3 linked regions of the Pelodiscus sinensis genome follow. The main gene of each other region encodes a partner of the protein of the gene in region 2 in a complex. Links are inferred from orthologs where the notes say so. Each region holds a gene or a part of one and is shown on either strand. Other genes may lie near its edges.

Evidence for each region. Proteins that work in one complex are often made in the same cells at the same time.
Region 1: the proteins of TFDP1 (region 2) and RB1 are in contact, whole or in part, in a crystal structure (PDB 2AZE), measured with the Homo sapiens proteins. The link is inferred for Pelodiscus sinensis from reciprocal best matches to the Homo sapiens genes TFDP1 and RB1. Residues at the interface, in NP_009042.1 of Homo sapiens: Gln222, Glu225, Leu226, Gln229, Ile262, Val271, Asp273, Asp288, Asn289, Thr290, Phe291, Glu292, Ile293, His294, Asp295, Glu298, Arg302; in NP_000312.2 of Homo sapiens: Ile835, Ser838, Phe839, Thr841, Ser842, Phe845, Gln846, Ile848, Asn849, Val852, Cys853, Asn854, Ser855, Val858, Leu859, Lys860, Arg861.
Region 3: the proteins of TFDP1 (region 2) and E2F1 are in contact, whole or in part, in a crystal structure (PDB 2AZE), measured with the Homo sapiens proteins. The link is inferred for Pelodiscus sinensis from reciprocal best matches to the Homo sapiens genes TFDP1 and E2F1. Residues at the interface, in NP_009042.1 of Homo sapiens: Glu201, Cys202, Leu205, Glu206, Glu208, Arg209, Arg212, Leu213, Arg215, Ile216, Lys219, Gln220, Gln222, Leu223, Leu226, Ile227, Gln229, Gln230, Phe233, Lys234, Leu236, Val237, Arg239, Asn240, Arg241, Glu244, Pro251, Ser255, Val256, Ile257; in NP_005216.1 of Homo sapiens: Arg202, Leu203, Leu206, Thr207, Asp209, Leu210, Leu213, Gln214, Ser216, Glu217, Leu220, Asp221, Leu223, Met224, Ile226, Cys227, Thr228, Gln230, Leu231, Leu234, Asp239, Ser240, Gln241, Arg242, Leu243, Ala244, Tyr245, Val246, Thr247, Cys248.

What each region holds. Positions count from the first base shown.
Region 1 is NC_134711.1:288,848,923-288,856,782, reverse strand, and holds the start of RB1 (retinoblastoma-associated protein), read right to left. Parts: upstream 3,063-7,860; 5' UTR 2,865-3,062; coding exon 2,782-2,864; intron 1,817-2,781; coding exon 1,699-1,816; intron 1-1,698. UniProt on the Homo sapiens protein: Tumor suppressor that is a key regulator of the G1/S transition of the cell cycle. The hypophosphorylated form binds transcription regulators of the E2F family, preventing transcription of E2F-responsive genes.
Region 2 is NC_134711.1:237,051,855-237,059,811, forward strand, and holds the start of TFDP1 (transcription factor Dp-1), read right to left. Parts: upstream 3,080-7,957; 5' UTR 2,935-3,079; exon of another isoform or gene 2,797-2,934; intron 2,637-2,796; exon of another isoform or gene 2,494-2,636; intron 2,181-2,493; exon of another isoform or gene 2,157-2,180; intron 1,802-2,156; 5' UTR 1,729-1,801; coding exon 1,717-1,728; intron 1-1,716. UniProt on the Homo sapiens protein: Can stimulate E2F-dependent transcription.
Region 3 is NC_134728.1:34,324,797-34,332,756, reverse strand, and holds the start of E2F1 (transcription factor E2F1), read left to right. Parts: upstream 1-4,898; 5' UTR 4,899-5,092; coding exon 5,093-5,320; intron 5,321-7,960. UniProt on the Homo sapiens protein: Transcription activator that binds DNA cooperatively with DP proteins through the E2 recognition site, 5'-TTTC[CG]CGC-3' found in the promoter region of a number of genes whose products are involved in cell cycle regulation or in DNA replication.

The DNA of each region.
Region 1 (7,860 bases), about 52 Mb from region 2:
CTACCCCATCCTTCCGCCCCCAAGACTCCACTCTTTCCTTGAAGCCCTGTCCTCTTTGTTCTCCTCCTCTCCATCACTTACTACCCCTGGCCTTTATACTCTCTCAAGGTATGGCTACACTGCCGCCTTTCCCTCCCTCCCTCCCCCCCTTGATTTTTCTGTAGGAAGAGGTTTTCAACATTTGGCCTCTCTAGACTGGGCCAAATGTCAGGAAAAAGACCCTCTTTCAGAAGCCCCCTTATTCCTCTTGGAACAGGGAATATAGGGGTTGCTGAAAGAGCATATTTGCTCTTCGGCTAAAAAAAAGCAGAAGCACAAACATGTTCTGGATGCAGAAGAGTTTTTCTGGGATACCTCTGGTATCTCGGAAAAAAACTCCTGCAGTCTAGCCGTATTCACTGGGTCGAGACAGGAGCTGCAGTCTCTGAGGTGGGAATGAGGGATTTGGGTACGAGAAGGATGGGGAACCTGTTTTGAGTCAGGGGGTCACTGATCCACAGAAAAGTCAGTTGGGGCCACACAAGTGAGATGCAAAAAAAAAAAAAAAAAAAAAAAAACACACACACCACCACACACAAACCTTCTCCAAAACCCCCCAACCTCACTAATGTGGCCCCAACAGTGCTGGTGGGAGCTGAGGACATGGTATTGGGGAAGGATGCTAGAGACGGGGACAGGGTGACAGTGGGGGCTGAAGCAGGGGACAGGGTGCTAAGGCAGGGCACCAGTGGCTGATGGGACAGGTAGCAGGCTGTCAGTGGGTGCTGCAGCAGGGGACAGGGTGTTGGTGGTGGCAGGCAACAAGGAGTCCCTGGCACTCGCCTCCTCCAAGGACCCCTCCCCTTCGCAGGGAAAGCACGTCCCAGCACTCTGCCTCCCTCCAGGGACTCCTACCCCCTCCCTCTTGCAGGGGAAGCTCATCCCAGCACTCGCCTGCTCTAGAGACTTTTACATCCTCCCGCCTCCCCCACCCACTGCAGGGGGAGCTCATTCCAGCATACACCCTCCTCCAGGGACTCCTCCGCCCCCTTAGCCCCCCGCAGGAAGTCCCCAGCATGCCACAGACCTGGGTCTGGTACCGCACTAGCTGTTTGGGGGAGGGGGTGCAGCCAGCACACTTCCTGAAACCCCAGAAGTGGCACGCAGCTGCAGGACTCCTATCCACAATGGAGGTAGCACCGGCTTCCTGCAGGGTCACTGGAGATGGACAGTGGGGCTTCTTGAGGGTGGGGGAAAATGGGGAGGCCCCAAATGCCTCACAATTGATGGGTTAGTGACCACGGCTACAGAGGCAAGGTATATATAGTCTTGTGCAGGCCCTCATCTTCCGCACTTGGAGTGCCAGAGTGGGGAACAGCTATAACATGTGGTCTGGATGTGATTAGTCACATAGTGCTGGTTTAACTACCATTTAGAGTAAGTGTGAACTAAAGGGGTTTTTTTAATTGGCATATTTAGTGAAGGTGAGGTTATGCAAGTTAATCTACACAGATGTGTGTACACAGCAACCTTTGTACTTTTTGACCTTGATATAAACCTGCATCAGAATGATACCACTGTAGCATTTCCATTTTAAAATAACTTGCAATTTTTACCAATTTGCTTCTTGGCTAAGGCAACATGTTAGGCTAAGCACGGATCCAGAGCTCAGTATTTTAAATCAAGTCACTGTAAGCATTAACTCTACCAAGTACTCACTAAAGTTCCATCAGTAGGGGACATTTTTTCATACATCTTCCAAGCATTTGTTCTCACAATGTCTGATACTCTTAGTGTGTCACACAGTGCAATAAAGCCAGTTTCTCCAAACTCAAGCCTAAAAGAGAGTGAAATGGATGATTAACTATCAGGTTCATTTAAATGAAAATGTATCACATATGATTATAAAGTATAAAACATTAGCTAGAATGTGACATTTCTCTGGAGAAAACCCATCTTACTGAGCATCTGCATCCACATCTGATCCACAAACGTCAATGGCTATAAAGGAGATATTCAGTTGTACAGGTCTCTACTTATGACCCCAAGAACCAGGAATGGATTGAAGGAAGGTCAGTGACTAGCAGGGAACCAAAGAAATTGGTTTTACACTGGAATTTCTAATCTAAAACTCATACAATCCTGAAATGCTGAATGCATGCACATCGGATGTCATCTATCTGTAGCAGATAAAGCAGCACATTTTTGTCCTTTAAAGGTGAGCCCACTAGAGCAGACCTTGGAAAGCTTGGGAGCCAAAGAGCTGGAAGCAATCAGGAACCCAGGCAGGACCCTGCATTACCTTTCACATTTCTACTGCCTGAATCTTAACAGGCCAATCCTACGGTTCCATCAGCATAAAATGCTTAACCTCTGCTCGAGCCTCTCGTCAGTCAGAGCCAGGTCTTCGCTGTTACATCTCACACCGCGGTGAGTGTGCAGTTGGCCACAGCTGACAGGCCCCAGCACCAGCGAGGCTAAGGGAGCCTTTCGCCCAGCGGGCACCGCCGATTGGGCGGACACCAACGGGCTGTTTTTCCGGCCAAAGCAACCTCTGCCCACGCGAGCACCAGGGACCTACGGACCCGTCTTCAGCAGCGCCCAGTACCGTACCAGCCATCCCCCCCCAAGCCGGGCAGGCAGCCTCCCAGCCACCCCGCACAGGGATGCGCAACCAAGCGGCGAGGGCTTCCGCGTTCGCCAGAGCAGAGCTGCCCTCACCCGGGACGCTCCCGGAGCAGCAGAAAAGCGGTGCCGCGGGGGCTAGAGCCCGGGCTGGAGGAAGCGGCTGGCGACTCTCACCTGGCGGCAGCGGCAGGCGGAGGTGGCGGGGTACTGCCTCCCTTGGCGGCGGCTCCCCCCTTCCGGGGGGGCTTGGGCGGCATGTCGGTCGGGCGCGCGCAAGGGCGCGCGGAGCCGCAACTGTTGGGTCCGAAGTTTAAACGTGCACCGCAGAGGGGAGACGAGAAACGGACAAACCGGCTCCCAACAGCGACCACTCAAACCGCGGGAAAACACGTCACGTCCGCCCCGCCCACCGGGCGGAGCGTACGCGTCACTTCCCAGCCCACAACTCGCTTCAGAGAGGGGTGAAAGGGACAGGGAGCGTATTCAAAGGGGGTGGAGCCTGCGCACAGAATGAGGCTAAGAACCCGGAAGAGAAACTCGGAGTCTTGGCAACGGAGGCTTGAGCGCAAGCCCTTCGGCCAATCAAGTCACCCACTTCCCTTAGCCAATAGAAGAGCTGATGACTGTCGGGGCGGGGGCTCTCCCGGCTGCTGTTGCTGGTGGTGCCGAAGGGGCGGGGCTCAGCGGACCTGGTTTGTTGTTGTCAACAGTTTATTTTGCCAGTTACGTTCCTAGAAGCTATAGACGGTTCAGCTCCGTCTGCCTGGGAGCGGGGGCGAGCGGGAAGGGAGGGAGGAGCCAAGTGGCGTTGTAACCCACGCACCTGTGGGCTGAGCTGTCCTGTCCGACCACTTACAGGGAGAATTAGTTTGCTCTGCAGCCTTCCTGTAGGGTTGCCAGGTGTCCGGTTTTGAACGGGAGAGTCCAGTATTTGGGCCGTCTGTTTAAAAAACAAATTCAGAAAATATGAAAGTCTGGGGCTGGGTCTACACTGGTGCGATCTCGCACAAAAACTTGCTGCCTGTCTACACTGGCCGTGTGATCGCAAGTAAACTGATGGTCTAATGTAGGAAATCAGGGCTTCTTGCGCCAGAACTCTGACACTCCCGCTGGGGAAGAAGCCCTTTTGCGCAGCTGTTCTTGCACAAGAGGCCGGTGTAGACAGGCAACATGAATGTCTTGCGCAAGAAAGCCCTATGGTTAAAATGGCCATCAGAGCTTTCTTGCACAATAGAGCGTCTACACTGGCATGGATGCTCTTGCGCAAAAGCACATGGCAGTGTAGACTCTCTCTTCTGGAAGAGTTCTTGCGCAAGAAGCTCCCAGTGTAGACATAGTTTCTAAATAAGATGTAATGTTAATTTTGATGTAATTTCAAGTGTGTCTGGTATTTTTGTGGAAACCATCTGGCAACCCTACCTGAGAGCCAGCTGGGTTTTAGCTCACGCAGTAGAGAAGGGGTGGGGAACCTTTTTTGGGGTCAGGGGCTGCTGACCCAAAGGAAAAAAATCAGAGGGTGGGCACACACAAAAAGAAAACAAAAAGGGGCAAACTCTCATTGACTGGTCCCCAAACTGAGAAGAAGAAAGACACTCCCCACGTTCCCCTCACACACCAGAGCCTAGGGAGGCCCAGGTGAGTAGATTTTGTATGCTCCAGCTCCACTGTGGGGCAGCAGAGAGGCTGGAGTGCCACAATGGACTCCCCAATGCTGGGGGAGCTATGAGTCTCAAAGGCCCGATCCAGGCAAGCCATGGTCTGCATCCCACCCTTGGGCCTTAGATTCCCCAGCTCTGCACTAGAAGCTCATGCGCTAAACTACAGCAATCCCCGGTTTGGTTCCGCCTGTCCAGGTTACAGAGTTACACACACATGGAGGTGCCTGGAGTTTGAAACTCCAGAGGTTAGTGAACACTTGGGAGAAGTGATGTCTTTGATCAAAGTTCAAGACCAAGAGCTCTTCAAGTGAGGCATAGGTAGAGGTCACAGTACACTCTGCTGGGAGCCTAAAAAGTCCTCTAGCAGTAGCAGATCCAGAGGAGACCAATTTTTACATTCATGTTATTTTTAAAGTAAACAAGCAGAGGGGAAAAGAAACAAATATATTTATAAGGCACCCAGGTACCTTTGTGAATTTCCATGTCCTCCTATTCCTTGCCCTTGCTCTGCACTGCCTTTTCCCCCAACTAATGCAACCCAGGGGACAAGCAGGGCCAGGGTGCTGGCAGCTGGTGTCCAGCCCCCCCCCCACACACACCCCCAGTGGCTGGGAGTGGGGGGAGTGAAGCAACACTATCCCGGCTTGTTCTGCTGTCCCAGCATGTTGCTTGGAGAAGGGGCGGCATACCCTCACTTTCAGCAGTGGGAAGCAGAGCAAGCTAAAGCTGCATAACTCCGCTTCCCTGCCCCCACCACTGCTGGTGAATGCAGGGGGATTGGATCCCTGCTACTGGCATCATGCCCTCCCCTGCTAACTCCCCTGGATGCCCAGAGACTGGGCCCCAGGACCATCCCACCCCTTGTGTGAGGTGTACGTGCCCTCTCCTGGTTCCCTGAACGATACCCCTGTCTGAGGCAGACACCTGAAAAATTTCAACCTGAACAAGTAAGGTTTAGTAACATTAACAGCAACTGAAAATTGGGTCTTACAAGGAAGTTCTTAGGCAACCTTAACTGTGGGTAGTGCTACCAGCTCCATCTAGAATGTGTTCAAGTAACTTCAGTATTAAAGAAAATTCTAACTGCACATAAAGGACTAGATTCTGTAAACCATCCTTCAAACAGTGCAGGATGGTAGGTTGTTTTTTTTTTAAAATGTATGCAAAGGTTGGTTTTAACCCAACCTTGTTCTCGCTCTGTAGGTATGGCTGCTGTATGCTGGCCTGGAGCCACACTATCAATTAAGGGATAAAGGTCTGTGTTGTAGAGCTAAAGATTCCAGTCCAGCTGATGATCTATAGGGGGAGCTGGTATGATTTCATATAAAAGAATGTTTTTTATTTTAGTTTCTTCTTTAAAAGATCTAGGAAATTACATATACACACGCACATTAAAATAATGTTAATCTTGTATCTTGGGTATTGCTAAAGCAGGGTTCCTGTTGAAAACAGGGGTACCTGATCACATAATTAAAGGATTGTTTCATAATGCATATGCAGAAGGGGGCCAAATCAAATTGCATGGGCAGCTTTAATTCTACAGTTGACTTCCAATAATCCGGCACCTTTGGGATTTAGGTGGTGCCAGATTATCGGATATGCCGGAGTATCAGGAGGTACTGCATACTCCCAACCCAATCTCCCTACCTCCCCTCCCCCCCCAAATCATCTGGCTGGGACACCATGAGTAACCCGATCCTCCTCCCCTTAGCAGAACACTTCTGCTCCCTGCTATAACCCGATCCCACTCCCCCACCCCAACCTTACGATTGGTCAGATACAGCCAGCACATGTGCTAAGGGGCCAGCTTTTCCAGAAGCTGGCCAGGATGCCATAAGTAATCCAATTCCCCTCCCCTTCTTCTTAGAAAAACACTTCAGCTCCCTGCTGTGACCCAGGTAAGAGCAGCTGACCTGAGCAGTTCCGGTTCCATCAGAAGCGCTTGCCATTTTGATGCCGGACTATCGGGAGTGCTGGACAATCGGGTGCCTGACTATTGGAGTTTTACTGTATTATTTCTTAACTGTCCAATGCTTGCTTTTGTAATTTTAACTGAGTTTTTTTTAGTCCATATAAATATATATAGTACATGAGAAATTAATTAGTGATACACTTCTGCATTTTAGTTACCAGATTTAAACCTAGGCTGAAGGAGGGACAGATGACCATATGGCTAAACACTGGATTAGATCTCAAATAGCTGGGATACATTGTTGTCTCTGCCAAAGGCTTTCTGTGAGACACAGAGAAAGTCATTTAATTTCCCCTGCTTCAGTTCTCCATTTATAAAATCAGATAATATTTTCTCCCAACACTTTTCTCTGTCTAATTTAGGTAATGATATGTTCTAGAAAGCACTGACTCTTAATATGTTTATGAAACAATGCACTATGAGGATCCAATCTTAGTTAGGACCTGTAGATACTACCATAATACAGTTAATAAGTATTGAAATTGGTGAGTTAAAGGACAGATTTAATTGAATACTCTTTGAATGTCTTCTTTAGATAACTGAATTAATAGATTTTTAAGACCAGAAGAAATGATTGTGATCATCTAGTCTGACCTCTCTTATAAGTCATCCCCAAAATAATTCCTATTACCGTATATATCTTATGTAAACATTGTTGAGCAATCTCCATCACTGACAATACTTGGTACATTTTTCCAGTGTTAAAAATGTACACCTTATTTCCAGGTTGGCTGGAAGTTGAAACTAAAAAAATTCATTCATAAGAAGTGGGTACAAGAAGCAGGGGAAGGCATTGCCGTCCAAGACTGAGGCATGGCCCTGCCCACACTTGGCCTCCACAGCACCCCTGCTTCATTGCTGCTCTGGAGCTGCCCCCAGCTCCAGCCACGCAGAAGCTGTGATTGCATGCCACCTGTCTTCCCCCTGCTCTAGGACCAGGGGAGGGTTCACATGGCGGGCTGGAGGCCTGCCCTGTGGTGGGGCGAGGGCTTGACTGCTATTGGGTAGAGGGCTTGAGCAAAAGAAGCAAGGCTGGAGGCTTGACTCTCCAACCCAAGGTTCACTTACTACCCATGCAGCCATTGGCTTGTGTTAAACATTCTCCACTATACTCAGGAGCCCATTATTAAATATTTGTTCTCCATGTCAATACTTATCAATAGTAATCAAATTATCCCTTAACCTACTCTTTGCTAAGATAATCAAATTTAACTCTGAGTCTGTCACTATCAGCATGTTTTCTAATCCTTTAACTTGTTCTTCAGGCTCTTGTTCAGACCTTCTCCAGTTTTTTAGCATCATTGAATTGTTGCTACCAGAACCAGATTCAGAATGGTACAGTTATTCCAGCAACGGTACACCAGTGCCAAATACAGACACAAAATAACCTCTCCACTCCTATTTGAGATTCCCTTGTTTATGCATTCTACAATCACAATTAGCTCTTTTGTTCAGAGCATCACCCTGGGACCTCACATGCAGCTGAGTGCATTCGTTGTTCCTAGATTTATACATTTAGCCATATTAAAACCCATATTGTGTGCTTGCACACAGTTTACCATGTGTTTCAGATTGGTTTGTCTGTTAACCCAAAAATAGAGGGAGTGGTAATCTACAAACTAT
Region 2 (7,957 bases):
AGCCACTTCCAGTTCTAGTATTCTATGATTCCACTAAAGACAGAAGTTAGGCTTTGAACAGTAATTACCAGGCTCATTCTTCTTTACCTTTTCAAAAACTGAAAGAGCAATCAGTAGTACGCCAGTTATCTGTTGCTAAACCATACACTAAATTTGCAAGTTATCCTGTTCTCTCCTCATTTCCTAATTTTCTAAATTCTCCCACAAACTTTTTTGTAGTTAGCGCAACTTGTCAGAAGCATGACATAAACCCCATGTCCATGACAAACTAAGGATGTTAAGGACTAGTCGCCTATCCGATAAGCATTTACTTAACAGATAGTTTGTCGACTTTCCCCCACCCCCTTTGCTGCCTCTATGAGATAGAGGCAGGGAGGGGGAAGAGGAAGGGGTACTTCAAAGTGGCAATACTGCACAGCTGAGCCGGGGGATCAGCTGTGCTGCACTGCCCCTTTAACTCACTGAAGCTGGAAGTCCCCTGCTGACCCCAGGCTCCACACAGCATTTCCCCAGAACCCGGACTCAGCTGGGGAGTCCCCTGCTGATCCATGGTTCTGCTGAAAGCTACAAAGAACCAGGGTCCTCTGGGGAGCCCCCCTGCTGACCAAGGCTTTGAAATGAACAAGGACCCTCATTGGGGACTCTTGTACATTTCAAAGCAAGCACACCTGTGTGCAGCCAGGAGTCCACTGGCCCCAGGCTGTACCTGGAGTTCCGCATTCCTCCTTTGAAATGTACAAGAGCTCCAGCAGGGTCAATTAACCACATTTTAACATTCCTGTGACAAACATAAAAGTTTCACTGACAAATGTACCCGGGTGGACAATTTTTAAAAATGCTGTGTTTTTCAGAGAACATGCAAAACATTACTATGCAAAAGTTAGAGTACCAGAGTACTTTATTAGCAATGTAACATCTAAATACAGAAGTCTCATGATAGTAAATGAGGACTGTTAATCATAAACTAATCTGTTCACTAACTTAAATACATGCTAGTATTTTTTCTGATGAAGAGGTATTAAAAATGGGAGCTATAAGAATAGATGGCTCAATAAACAGACCCTCTTATTATCACCCACTTCTATGTTAGTGGCTTGAATCGGATAGGTTGAAGCAATTATTTCCTCCCCACATAGTCTAATTGCTACTGACTTTAACTAGGTTCCTTTTGTCTGTTTCAGAAGAAAGGCAAAAATAAGCATAGAGACTGAAAGAACCTCTTATCCTTAAACATGTGATATTTCCTAAACATAGTTTAACAGCAGGTCAACACTGAGTGGCATTTCTAGTGTACCTGTTCTATCAACAAGCAGGTAACTTAATGAAAGGTACTTCACTGACAATGCTCAGATTGAACAATACTTTAATTACCCAGCACAATAGTGAAAACTGCTTTTCACAATCTCTATTACAAGTATGCAAAATGCCTGCATCAAATGCTTTTCAGCAAGATGGTGGCTTTTTGTTTTGTTGCACAGAACAAATGTGCATATTGTGTAAAACGTTAAGCCTTTTTGTAATACAAAAGCTAGTAAGTCTATTCTAAACTTTCTATGTGAAAACAGATACACTGCAAACCCATTTTAAATAAGAGACAAAAAGGAGGTCTTCATTTCCCCTAATGCCAGTTGTGGTATGTATGGCCTGCTCTGTCTTAAGCACATGGAAATATTCTATCACTCATGTTCCCAGATAATACAAAACAAATATACTTACATCTTTTGCCATGTTACCAATGCTTAGAAATCAAGTCTCTTAAATGACTGACACCCACAGAAGGAAACAGGGACTGTGATATTTTCTACAAAGAAAGTCAAGACAACACTAGCTGTAACAGTGAACTGCAAAAGTCCATCATTTATTAACTGCATGCAGACATTCCTCTACTTTAGAGCATGGTCTCGTAATATTTAAAAAGTTTTCTGGCATCAACAACTTACTCTGGGAGAAAGGCCTCACAATCCCCCCAGAGAAAGGACCCTCCCTTCAGCTCGCACCCTAGCCCCAAGGCCTTCCTCATCCCAAACATACACGGAGGAGCCCAGCAGGCGGCCTGGACTGGCAGCCTAAGCCCACAGTGGGTCGGCCACAGTCCAGCTCTTCCCCTTCCCCGCAACACCATCCCACAGGCGAGGCCGGAGGCCCCTATGCCGGACCTGTCAGCTTCCCCACAATACTAGGCCCCTGGGGCCAGTCCCCTGACAGCCCCGGCGGGCGCAGCCAGATGGGCCGCTGGTGCGTGGGGAGGCCGGGGCGCCTCAGAGGCTCTTCACAGATTGGCAGCCCCACCAGCCCCTCACCCGGGGCCCCACCAGCCCGCCCAAGCTAGCGAGTGGGCGCGCGAGGCGCTGGGCTCGGCTGCCACAGGAGAAGCACCATCCCCCAGTATGGGGAACCCCCCCCCCGGGTAAATCCCGCGCCCCCTCCCCACGTCCCGCCCAAACCCATCCCCCGGTGCGGCAGCGCCTCCCACACGCCGAACGGTGCCTGCACCTGAGCGGCCGCCGGCGGAGAGCAGGCTCCCTGCGTCCCCCGCCCGCTCCCACACAGCGCCGCTCTGCGGAGACACGGCGGCGGGAGGGGGGGGGGGGCGCCGACTGCACATGTGCAGCTCGCGGGCCTCCAAACGGGGGGGAGGGTAAGAGAGAAGGCAGGGCTGTCAACGGCGCCAGCCCCCAATCAGGGGATCCCGCCCCTCCCCCCTTGTCAGCCTCACTCTTCTCTGCCCCCCGACTCTCCCTCCCTTCCATCCTCCCTCTTGGGGTCCCTCTGCTGCGCCCCCTGCTCCTTGCACACCTGCGCAGGCTCCCCCCTCCTCGCGGAGGGCTCCCTGTGTGGGGGCGGGGGGGCGCAGCCGCCCCTCCCCAGCTTCAGCACGCGGATGCGGCCCTGGAAAAAAAATTTCCGTTGGCAGAAAAAAAAATTGAAACTTACACTTTTGTACGTCCCACCGGCGTGACGCTGCGCGCTGACGTCATGAGGTGTAACGTGCCTCGCATAGGGCCCACGCGGAGAGATTAGTGGCCCCTCCACACCGTCCCTCCGTGTGGCGCGCATGCGCGGGGATTTCGCGCCCAGGGATTCCCCACCCCTTTTGGAAAAAGAGCGCGCGGGAAGCCTGGGCGCGAGACTTGGCGGTTAGTCAGTCAGAACCAGGCAGCCGTTGCGCTCTGGCACGTGGTGTCACTCGAGGGGGTGGCCTGCGTCAGCGCTGAGCTACTTACCACCCACCTGTCGATGTCAAGCGAGGGGAGAAGGGTACCGTGCCCCGCCTCTGCTGACTAAAGCTGGGCGCTAGCCCATGTCCCCTCCAGCTCTGGCGGGGAGAAGGACTTTGCCTAGGTCCTGGGGCTTCAGGTGGCTTAGCAGGACCTAGCCCTGATTGACCTCGCAGAACATTTTCCTTCTCGCGCCATAATGATTGCAGGGCACAGCACGCTGTCAAAACAAATCCTCAGGGTGTTGGTTTCAGCTGTGGGCTCTGCACCCAGCAACAGCATTTTAGAAACTAGCCCTAACCAACCCCTGAGTAATGCTGATGGTGCGTCCTCATCACTGCCTCGCCATTATCAGGGCTGCAGCACTTACAATGCCCCATTTTAAACATGCCATTTTAAAATAGTTTAATTAGAGGGCAAACTGGCTCCTCTGCAAGTTCTGCTGCTTGCTGCAGAAAAGAGTGAGAAACTGTAATACTCATGACAGCTAAGGCAGAATTGTACTTCATAGTATTTTTTGTAGCATAGAGATAGTTTGTGGTCTTTTAAGATTTTCCTTTTTCATCCCCACTATGCTAGATTTTTAAAATTTAGATGTACTGTGATTGCATCAAGGTCAGGATACACTAAACTGACCTTTGTACTAAATGGAACATTTTTTAAATCCAGAAGAATGAAACAGTAACTGTAGAAAAGTGAGCTTTTACTCAAAACCACTTTCAGAGATGGAAAACTGTTAGGTGAAGACTTTTCTTTGAAAAGTGTTTTCAGATATTTGTGAAAAAGGGAGGCAGCTATTATTGAAGCAGCACGTGATATCTTAAATGGAAAGAGAAAAATATGATACTGATTTTTTTAACTGATTTGCCCCTTACAAAGGAAGAATAGGTAAGGGAAAATGTTTGGAGCCTGGGAAAAGTGACCTAGCTCCAGGGGATTTTAGACCATTCAGTGCAGAAATTGTGGATGGAGCATGAAACAGGTCCTCAAACAGTTCTGGCATGCCATTCTCCTTTTCTCCAAATGTTTGAGTCTGTTCCAGAGATGAAAGTAAGTCGATACACCTTGGGCAACAGCTGGCTGAGCTGTAGCAAAAGCCAGCAGAGAACTGGGTTGCAATAGGATGGTACCTGTACAAAATTTTAAGTTACTTTCACTCTTCTTTTTTTTTCTAATCACAGTCAGCAAAGGATCACCATTTGGAGAATATAATCCTTCATTGCTTTTTTACCAACGCTTATTAATAATACCTTCCAAAGAGTCCAGTCCAGTTGCATAAAGTACTTGTGAGATAATTGGGTTAAGGATTCAAGTGTATTCTGAGGAGATTTGGTACTTGTTTGTCCATTGTGCTTTATGCCTGCTATAGTGTGTAGGTGATTTCCCCCCTGCATTTTCCAGCTCCTGTGTTGGCATGTCAATGACTGCTTTTCTCTATTCAGCATTTCTTTGGCATGTCTGCACCTTATAGAGTTTTTCTTTATGAAACTGAAACCTTACAGGCCATCAGCCAGCTGTCCAGTGGCAAGGCCCCAGGATCTGATGCGATCCCAGCGGAAGTCTATAAGGGTGGTGGTGCAGTGCTTGTCGACAAACTCACTCAGCTGTTCCAGTCCTTCTGGAATCAAGGATCTATTCCTCAGGAACTGAAAGATGCGCCCATCGTACACCTCTACAAGAGGAAAGGAAATAGACAAGTTTGCGATAATCATAGAGGAATATCACTGGTTTCCATCGCAGGTAAGATCCTTGCACGAGTGTTGCTGAATCGTCTGATTGACCACCTGGAACAGGGTTTATTACCCGAGACAGAGTGCGGCTTCCGCAAAGAGTGTGGCATGGTGGATATGATCTTTGCAGCCTGACAGCTCCAAGAGATGTGTCAAGAGCAGAATTGTGAACTGTACACCATCTTCGTGGATCTCACCAAGGCTTTTGACATTGTCAGTCGCGAAGGTCTGTGGCGCATCATATCGTAGTTTGGGTGCTCTGACAGATTCATCTTGATGGTACGTCAGTTCCACGACGGCATGACGGCTCGTGTTCTAGATGATGGAGAAGCTTCAGAGGCCTTTCCCGTCACAAACGGCGTCAAGCAAGGGTGTGTGCTGGCACCGACCCTGTTCAGCATAATGTTTTCAGCCATGCTGTCAGACGCCTTTCAGAACAGTTCCTTGGGAATCAGACTGAGATACAGGACCGATGGGAAACTGTTTAACCTGCGAAGACTCCAGGCTGTCACCAAGATAAAGGAGACTGTGCTACGAGATCTCCTTTTTGCTGACGACTGCGCCCTGAATGCTGGATCAGAGCAGGAAATGCAAGCCAGCATGGACAAATTCGCAGCAGCATGTGACAACTTCGGCCTTCTCATCAACACAAAGAAAACCGAAGTGATGCACCAGCCAGCTCTGAAAGCTCAACATCAAGTGCCCACCATCACAGTGAAGGGACAAAAGCTGCAAGCAGTGGACCAATTTACATATCTTGGCAGCACCCTCTCCCGCACAGTGACAATTGACATCGAGGTCAACTGCAGAGTCGCCAAGGCAAGCTCTGCTTTCGGCAGACTGCTGACCAAAGTGTGGGACCGCCGTGGAATAAGCCTTGCTACAAAGCTTAAAGTCTATCGAGCAGTAGTGTTAACTACCCTGATGTATGCCAGTGAGACTTGGACTGTATACAGGAGGCACGCTAGGCAACTAAACCACTTCCATACGATTTGCCTTCACAGACTTCTGAGGATCCGGTGGCAGGATAAGTTGCCAGACACAGAAGTCCTTTCTAGAGCAGGCCTGCCATCAGTTTACACCCTGCTGATGAAAGCTCAGACACGCTGGGCAGGCCATGTTGCAAGGATGCCAGATCATCGCATCCCTAAACAGCTCTTCTATGGTGAGCTGTTTCAAGGTAAGCGATCGCACGGGGGACAAAAGAAGCGATACAAAGACACGCTTAAAGCCTCTCTCAAGTCCCTGGATATTGACACCACCTCCTGGGAGACCCTGGCACAAGACCGATCAACATGGCACACGCTGATGTACCAAGGCTGTCAAACATCTGAAGCCAGAAGGAGAACCATAGCACAAGAGAAGCGAGCACTCCGTAAAGCCAGAGTTGCAAAAGCTGCAACAGTGGTGCCCACACATGTCTGCCCGACATGTGGCAGAACATTCCGTGCCCGTATCGGCCTTATCAGCCATTTGCGGACACACCATGGACAGTCCGCAACCTGTTAGATGTCAAGGTCCTCTTCGAATACGATGGACGAACAACAACAACAACAGTGTGTAGGTAATTTTCCCCCTGCATTTTCCAGCTCCGGTGTTGGCATGTCAATGACTGCTTTGGCATGTCTGCACCTCACAGAGCTTTTCTTTATTGGGATACACTCTATTTCCTTCAGAGCAGTGGTCACCAACCAGTAGATCAAGATCTACCCGTAGATCTTGGAACCTCTGACAGGTGATCCTGACTGGTTTGGCCAAGAAGATATCAAGCTCTGGCACTTCAGTTATCCCTCCACATACTGTCATGCTCTCCTGCCCCCTGCCTTTCATTTACGTCGGTGGCGTAGGAAGATATCGGCACGTGTACCCATCTGACGTGGTATTTGGGTTCTATAAGCACTTGCCGAGCCATATTGGTCTTAACTACATAAGGGCCAATTTCATGACGGTCAGGCTCTTCAGCTACTAATATTTTCACTGGAAATTTAACCCCGAATAATCCTAACACCGTCCAGGTGTTGGATTCCGTGATGTTTTCTATAAATACTCCAGTACACTCATAACTAGCTGGCTGTGGATCTACTATACAGCTTGGTGATGCAGCAAACTGACTAGTTCTGTGTGGTGATCTATTTGCTGCACAGGTCAATGGCACTGTGGCACGAATTACTCTTGCTGGTGATATAACAGTAGCATCTATTGTAGTCGTAGTAAAATGATCGTGATAAAATTTTATCACCCATACGACTTGTCCTGGCTTCACTATAGGATGATACAGAACGTCCAGATATACGCACGTTGAACCAGTCCACCTAGGAGCTATTATTTTGCAATTGGTCAGACATCGTCTATTATGTATGTCTGATGATGCATGTGCCATGGTTTCATTTATACAGAGATGGGGGTTAACAAATGTCCATAGGCATTTCTTGGATGGAGACGTATCTACTAGCATATTTAACCAACCAGGGACGGTAAAACCATTAGCTTTAGTCTCATCTTTACCCATCGTAAAATATAATAATATATTGCCTTCTATTTCATCTCGAACAAATAGATGGCAAACCCGATGATCTTGCTCTACTCGAATTGTGACCATTTGACTCTTAAAAATGGGAAGCCTAACCTCCCATCGATTAGTATTACCTCTCAAAGGCTTATATGTTTTGGAATTGATCACCTGGCGATTATAAACTAGATCTCGGGATTCACGATGAGTCCAGACATATCTTTTTGGTGTCATCAAATCATATTGTTGTTGTTTCAAAGGTTTAATAGAATATAATAGGACTGGAAGGGACCTCGAGAGGTCATCGAGTCCAGCCCCCCGCCCTCAAGGCAGGATCAAGCTCCGTCTACACCATCCCTGACAGATGTCTATCTAACCTGTTCTTAAATATCTCCAGAGAGGGAGATTCCACCACCTCCCTTGGCAATTTATTCCAATATTTGACCACCCTGACAGTTAGGAATTTTTTCCTAATGTCCAATCTAAACCTCCCCTGCTGC
Region 3 (7,960 bases), on a different chromosome or scaffold from region 2:
CATTGTTGCCCTATAATTTGCCTGAAAACTGAATTTAAAATGTACAGGCAAGTGCTGATCTTTCTGTAGCTCTCAGTTCAAAAAAGAAAATGATCTTTTCACGTACAGGGGGACAACAGCCAGGAACAATATTGCAGATTCTGTTTAACAACAAACAAGATCTGGAATAGATCAAAGTAAAAGGACCCAGGTTCTCCAGTGAGGTCCATTCCCTTCCTCCTGGGCACAGAATTAACAGCCCAGAGAGGCGTATTAAACCATCTCGCCCCAGAGCAGGATTGTTACTGTCTGTATAACAGTGTACGCTGTGGTGATTTGTCCAAGCTGCTTTCAGTCACTCCAGTGACAGGACTTCTGCTACCTCCTCCTCAGAGACCTGATTCCACTGCTTAGCAGACCTCATGCTGAGAGAGGTTTTCTTAGTCTTCAGTTTGGCCTTCAACACTAGAGTATATAAACATCTCCCAAGGATTTAAATAGAAGTAATCTCCTTCCTTATTGTCTTCCTTCCTTCTTGGCCTGCAGAAGCAGCTTGACTAATGGGTAGGCTTGTCAATGTGTGGAAGGCTTATTAAGGAATCATCACCGCCCAGGAAAGATCACATTTAGTCCTGAAAGCGGTGAGGCCCAGGGCATGAAGTTCCCAGTCCAGCTCCTGTCAATGTCCTGGCCCCTTCACTCATAAGCTTCCACTTCTTGCTTACCAGTGCCCTGCAGCTGTTGAAGAACAGGCTGATCATAAAGGGAGAGGTGCCTCTCTGGTAGGTAGGGCCAGTCTCATGGAGGGCTTGGAATATCAGAGCACAGACTGTTCATGGGGCAGCCAGTGCAGAGAATAGACCATTGGGGAGTTCTGACATCTACGGGCCCATGTTGCTGCATTTTCTGAAAGCTGAAGCTATCCCTGGCTCTGCCAGTTCATTCCTAGATATGATGAGTTGCAGTTACTGAGCCTGGAGGTCAGGATCATGTGGCTCTATGGCCACGTTTGCAGGGTAAGATTCAGGTTGTGAGGGGCCTAAGATTAAGGGGAGCGAAGGGCCTAAGTATGAATTACAAATTGAAAAAAATAGTGAGAGGTCCTGTGGCACCTGGGGACTAATCAAAATATACAGAATCCTGAGCTTTTGTGGGCAAAACCCACTTCATCCAATGAATTGGAGTGGAAATAGCAGAAACCAAGAAGTATATATTACAGCAGAAGAAGTATCTGTAACTTGTAGGACCCGTGTTAATGAGGCTAACTAAGTGGGCTGGATGTGTCCCATTAATAGCTTTTGATGTGAAAATGCCCACATATCACAGCCGGCTACGAAGTGAATTTAAAATCCCTGAGAGAAACATTGTGTGTTGAGCTTTCTCCAAGGATTTTGCAACCCCCTTAACAGCAAAAGTTGTGTTCCCCTGTGGAACTAGGCAGAGCAAAAGGGAAGAATTGGATTTCCTGTGCATGCCAGTACAGAAAACATACATCAAAGAAAAACAATTGGATTATTTTTTTAGCACAGTTCAATACAGTATTGAAAACAGTGCATCATAAATCTGAAACTCCTTGGTGAAAGGCTGCTGTAAAAGTCAGAGCGCTGGTATCCAGAGTGGGAGGGTTGGTTTTTCTCAGTGGGTGGGAATTCGTTCATTATACATGGGATGAGGGCAGGGGCCATAGTTCAGGTTGGAGCTGGATGGAGTGTCTATAGATTCTGTGCAAGATTCCCACTGCATTGGTACTGCCTTTTCCTTGTGCCCTGCTCCTCCCCACCTGCCACCTCTAGGCACTCACCAGTTGCCCAGAAATGGAGCTAGCACTAGGACCAGGAGAGAGCGTCCTGAAGCTGTACTTGCCTGCCAGTCTCAGCGGGGAGGGACACAGGCCTAAACTGGGTAGTCTTGCCCTCTCTTCTTCCCTCCTGCTCCCCCCCAACAGCCCAGCAGAGCTCTGGAGAAATGGAAGATGGGGAAACAGGGAGGGGAGAGACAGTGCCTGCTCAAACTACACCCACAGCAGGCACAGGTTCCCATAGTAACCAGACCACGTTTTTAATCTCCGTTTACCACTGTTAACCTGTCCTGCAGCAGCATGGGGACAGACAGAGCCTCCAGGGAACCCGGGAAGCAAGGGACCGTTGCCAGCAGCCGGCTGAGCTCCTGCTAAGCTCCAGGTGCTGCTTTACTTTTCCTGCTGGCAGGAGTGCTCCCAGGCTCCAGCAGGACTACCTGAGCAAACTTACTCCACCTCTCTCTCCTGCCCTGGCCCTGCCCCCTGTGTGGCCTGGAGGGCCTAACGCTATAGCCTTATCAGCCTAATGGTTAACCTGGCCTTGCAAGTTTGTATCCCACAGGGCAGTGGTCTCCAACCTTTTTAAGCACAAGATCACTTTTTGAATTTGTCAGTACAGGATCTACCTCAAACCCAAATAGCCCTGCCCTGCCCCTTCTCTGAGGCCTCGTCCTCTTCACTCTGTGAAGATGGGGTACAGGAGAGGGGGGCGGAGTAACATAAGTGCCCCCTGCCTCTGTCTCCCCCACCCTGCACAACAAGTAGACTCCTAGGGAGTGGCTCCGAGGCTCTTGGCAGGAGCAGCAGGGCAGTGAGAGGAGGAGCAGCTGACATGCAGGCACTTGACAGCCTCCCAGCCAAACCAGTCAGGATCCCCTGTCAGAGGCTCCAAGATCTACTGGTAGATCTTGATTGACTGGCTGGTGACCAATGCCGTATGGTGTGGCATTGTTTTGTGACTAGGCACAGAGGGAAGCAAGTTTTGCCACCAAGCCACTTTGACATCCAGTAGTACTGTGAAGTCTGAAAGGCCCCAGTGGCTGAAGGCAGATGTAATCGGAGGGCAGGTGATCATGTTTTAAAGGGAGATGTTAGAGGAGTTAAATTCTTCAAAGCACTCTGCATGTCCTACCAACATGATTTCCATCCTGCCTGGGGTCAGCACTAGCCAGTCTCTCTATCCAGGAGCCGACCTTGGCTAGGCAGTGGGGAAGTTGCAAGATGGTGCTGTTCGATGTGAGAGGCAGAGATGGGTATCATCTGTGGGTTGCTGGCATACGATAAAGTGGCACTGAAGGCTTTGGAAGTGGAGAAGCAGCTGCTTGTGCCACACTGGGTTTGTTCTGTGGGAAGATCATGAGCTGTGTCGTGGCATTGCCATGCAATCCTACAGCTTCTTGGAGTGAGCTGCAGAAGTGTTTGGTCAGCATCAAATTCCAGCAGGCCGAAGATGGAGATAATCCTTTGTCTATGGACAGGAGGAAACCATCCACCAGAGCCACAAGAGTGTATGGGCAACATGGTCTGTCCCGGAGGGGAATCCAGCATACTGGCAGCCAACACTGAGCAATTCCTCTTCAGCCCTGTCCTGAAGCCAGATGTATTGATCAAACAGGCTCGGGTTTGGGTGGCTTTCCTTTCAAAGATTTTTACAGTCTGCCCCAAAAGGCAGCTTTATGGAGAGCCCCTAGTAGCATTAGCACGGTCAAGTTTCAGATCCAGCCTTCACAGCTGCTGCAGCTCTACTATTGGCAGCAGTGGTGAGAGCTACAAGGTAGATAGGGGGGCAGGAAGTTTTATCATCTAGCTCTCCAGTTTCTCCCAAGGGTGGACAAGGCCTGGAAGGTTGGCCTCAGCCCAGATATCAAAGGAAGAAACTGATTCTGAGGTAGATTGATTTTTATTACAATTAAAAACTCAACCCTCTGCTAAACCGAATTACTGAAAAGCAATAGAGGTATAATGAAAAACTTTGAAAAGCATGTGACTTGCAACCAGTTCTATCCATGCACCTGTAATGCTGCTCCTTGTCCACAGGTATGTGGGGGGGGGGGGGCAGATGTATCCCTATGTGCCCACACATATTTTTGAAGTTCTGTATTTTTTTACCCTCAGTTTCTATTATTGAACAGACTTTCATGGAGATTATAGCTAAATTGCTGGCATACCATCCCTGAGTGGAGACCTCTAACCTAATCTAGCCGAAGCCTGAAGAACACACTGTGTAGAATGTAATTAGAGTTCGGAACTTGGAGAGTGGGTGTGAAATGTGGGGGCAAGAATAGCAAATTGAACTTTGAGAACGAGGACTCCCCTGAGAGGGAGCGGATCTGGATCAGTACCTACCCCCTCGGGAGGTATCCATGTGTTACATACAGTGTTATATAGTTGTACTATGTAGCTATTACTCATGGATACCTCCCGAGGGGGCAGGTACTGATCCAGATCCGCTCCCTCTCAGGAGTGTCCTGGTTCAGATCCGGGCCCCCTACAAGGAAGGGGAAAGGAGAAGGGTGTCTGCCCCCTGCAAGCCGGGCAGGGTGTTTCTGTCCGCGGACACCCCCTCCCCAAACAGCGGGAGTGAGGGGAGCAGAGTCTGCCGGGCCTGGTGCCGGGGACCCAGCGAGCAGAGCGGCGGGGCGGGGCGGGGGCTGCCAGATGGTTTCAACAAGCACACGGGGCACACGTGCCATGACGTCACAATCGACATCCCCTCTGAGTTGGAACACACCGGAGCGTTCTATTGTCTGTCCCCGGCCGCGCGCCGGACACCTGGCAACCGCTGTGCCCGCGGGAAGGGGCGGGGCGGCCGCGCCGTGGGAACAGATGGGAGACGGGCGAGGCGACCAGCCCCCGCACCTGCCCTGGCCGCGGCGTCCCCCAGCTGCGCGCTGATTGGCCGCCCCCCCGCCGGCGCAGCCGCTGCGATTGGCCGGCTGTCAGAACGCTGGGCTCGTCACCGCGGCGCCTCGCGGCCGTCCGGGCCGTAGCCAATGGCAAGGCGGAGCGGCGCCCCCCGCCCGGCGCGGCGGCCAATGGCGAGGCCGCTCCCCGCCGGCGTGTGGCGGACGCAGCCAATGGGAGCGCGGACGCGGCGCTCCGGCGGCTTTCGCGGCAAAAAGGATTTGGCGCGCAAAGGCGCGCGGGGCCGGCAGCGGCGGGGACAATAGCCGGGCCGGGCCGAGCCACCGAGCGGCGAGCGGCGGCCCCGGGCAGGGGCGGAGGCTGCGGAGCGCGGCCCGGCCCCCCCGAGCATGGGGCGCGGCCCCGGGCCAGGCCCCCCCGGGCCGGCGCCGGGCCGGTGAGCGCCCCGCCATGTCTCGGGAGGGGCCGGGCGGCGGCGCCCGCGTGTCCGAGCTGGCGGCGCTGCTGGGGGGCGCCGGGGCCCTGCACGCGATGGAGCAGCAGATCGTGATCATCTCCACGCCGGACGCGCCGCCCCCGCCCGAAGCGGAGCGCGAGGCCGAGCTGCTGCTCTTCGCCACCCCGCAGCCCCCCCGCCCGGGCCCGGCGGCGCAGCGGCCCGCGCTGGGGCGCCCTCCGGTAACGCCGCTCGGCCGCGGGGCGCTCCCGCCTCGCTGCGGGGGGGACGAGGGGGGAGAGGGAGTCGCCCCCCCCCCCGGGGTCATGGGCTCCAGCCTCACGAGCGTCCCGCGCCCTGGGCTCGCTGACGGGCCACCTGTAGCCGGGGGGGGCAGCCCTGTCTGGTGCCAGATAAGGCTGGGAGCTGCCCGTGCGGTGGCTGCAGCTCTCCGGCTTCCGGCTTCCCGCGATAAAGCTCCCAAGCGAGGGAGGAACCGGTAGTAATGTGCGAGCCAGGCCTGGCGAGAGCCAGGCTGCCATTAGCGTGTGCAGAGCAGAGCTCTCTGCCTTCCTGGCTCAGCATTTCTGCTCCCAGCTCTTCACCAGGAGACATGGGCTCATAGGGGACCTGTGAATTCTGGCTTTGAGATCTCCGCTCTCGCATCACACACAGGAGTGACCTGCCCTGCTTCAGTGGAGAGGAATGGGGATTGGGCATAAAATATGCAAATACATTAATAATAGAGGGGGAGACATACACCAGTCATCACAATGTCTGAAAATTGTACTTCAGAGCCAAATCCACTGTGTGGATTGTGTCTCTAGACACACTTCTCAGATTATTCTCAGGTCTCAGTGTGTTGTGATGATACTTTAATGACTGTGGCAGCAATCTGCAGGATAAAGTTAGTCTTGTGAAATTCTGCTTGTCCGCGATGGGAGGGCGTGTGTATACATGCTCAGGCATGTAACTAGAGCCCTGCGCAGATACAAAATTTTGTATCTGCATCTATAGATGCAAAAATATGCTGAGGTTATCTGCATCCACATCCACAGCTATCTGTAAATTTGCAAGATTCTAGATACGGAATCTTCAAGAATGGGCCGTGGACATCAGCATTCACATCCACGGATGCAAATACCTGTGGGTATAAAGTGGGTATCTATGGATTTCCAGGGCCCTACTTGTAACTTCTAAATAATTGTTAGGATAAACTCTGGAGCAGGTGTTGTCTTCTAGTGCATCTGCATGAGAGGGCTTTCATTGTGATTGGCACCTCTGGATGCTATTGTAGTATAACAAATACTGACTGCTGTGAAGTATGGAGGGCTGACCTTTGCATCCATGCAGACACCCATTGTGTTCAGTGGGGCTCCTGGCAAGAATCTGCCCTTGTAGTTCTTGGTGCAAAATCAGGGTCCCACAAGGCAAGGCTGAACCGGAGCCTTCCTTTCTTTTGGTTTCCCGAATTTGTTTTCGACACATACGCACGGGTCAGACCAAAGATCCATCTAGCCCGGTACTCTGCCTTCCGACAGTGGCCAGTGCCAGGTACCCTAGAGGGAGTGAAGAGAAACAGGTAATCATCACGTGATCCCTCCCCTGTCATCCATCTCCAGCCTCTGGCAAAGGCTGGATAAATACGTAAATAACTACCACCGGCAATTAGACTGAAGCGAAGTGACAAGGGCTTGCATTTCTCCTTCATCATGGCACAAACAGAACACTGTATGGGATCCTTCTTGTGCACTTGGAGATTATTTTGAGCCATCATTTGGCATTGGCCATGGTCAGTGAATGGATCCTGGGCATAATGGGCCATTGTCCCAGTATAACATCCCCAAGCTTTTAGTTCAGTCGAAAGTGGGTGGGGGGAGGAGGAAAAGACCACAACATGCTTTGATAGTTAAACATACCATCTTCCAGAGGCTTGGAGTTTGAGGGGCCGGCGGCAGCTTTACAGCTGATCCTTTGTTTTAATTGTTTGGCTCAAGAATCCATAATGAGCCAAAATTCCCTGTTTGCTGTCTCCCTGCTTGTGGGGAGTGGGTGGTTGTGCTGGAGGCGCTGCTGGTTTGCATGGTTGGAGTGCGGTTTCATGGAGACGCTTTGCTGGTGAAACCCTGAAACCTGAGCTGCTTTTCTCCTAACTGTAATCAGCAGCCTGGTACCCATGGGCAGCTCTGCACCTGCACCTCTGGCAGGGCTGCAGCCTGATGTTTGTGGGCAGTGAAACTCTAAACACCCTAGTGTGCATGAGCAAAGAAAGGGGGCAGAATTATTGTTCTGAGGTCCCCTGGGTGCTTTTCAGCAGTGCACTGGAATTTAGATAGCTGATGGTCAGCTGTCTAGGGCAGTGTGAGCAATAGCTCACTTGCTCCACGATCACTCAAGGTGAGATACTTCCCTCCAGATACATGTCACTGGGCCTTGGGGCGGGCGGGAGGGAGGTCTCGAATTCATCTGTTTCTGTGCTGTCAGACGGTTTCCTTCTAGTAATAAAATAGGCCCCAATGACCGAGTCTCCGCCTCCTTCCCAAATGTCTCCTTCATGAGCCAGATCCTCTTGTACTAGAGGCAGGGTAGTAACCATGCACAAAGTCTTGAAGTTCTCTTGTCCCTGTGGTCCCAGGCAGATAGCTGGAATGCTGGTCTGAGCTGGCACCAATGGGTGATCAAGTCAGGCACTCCACTTGGGGTTATCCTGGAAGGTTCTGATCGCCGGTTGGTGCGTAGCTTGGATCTTTGTGAGCATGTGAGCGGCATTGTGACGGCTCGTTCTTACGAGTGCTGCTTGTGTGAAGCAAGTGGGTGAAGTCTCCCATCCCTGTTTTGGTTTCTCCTCTTCTGGAGCACATCTGCTTAGCAATGACTCCTTG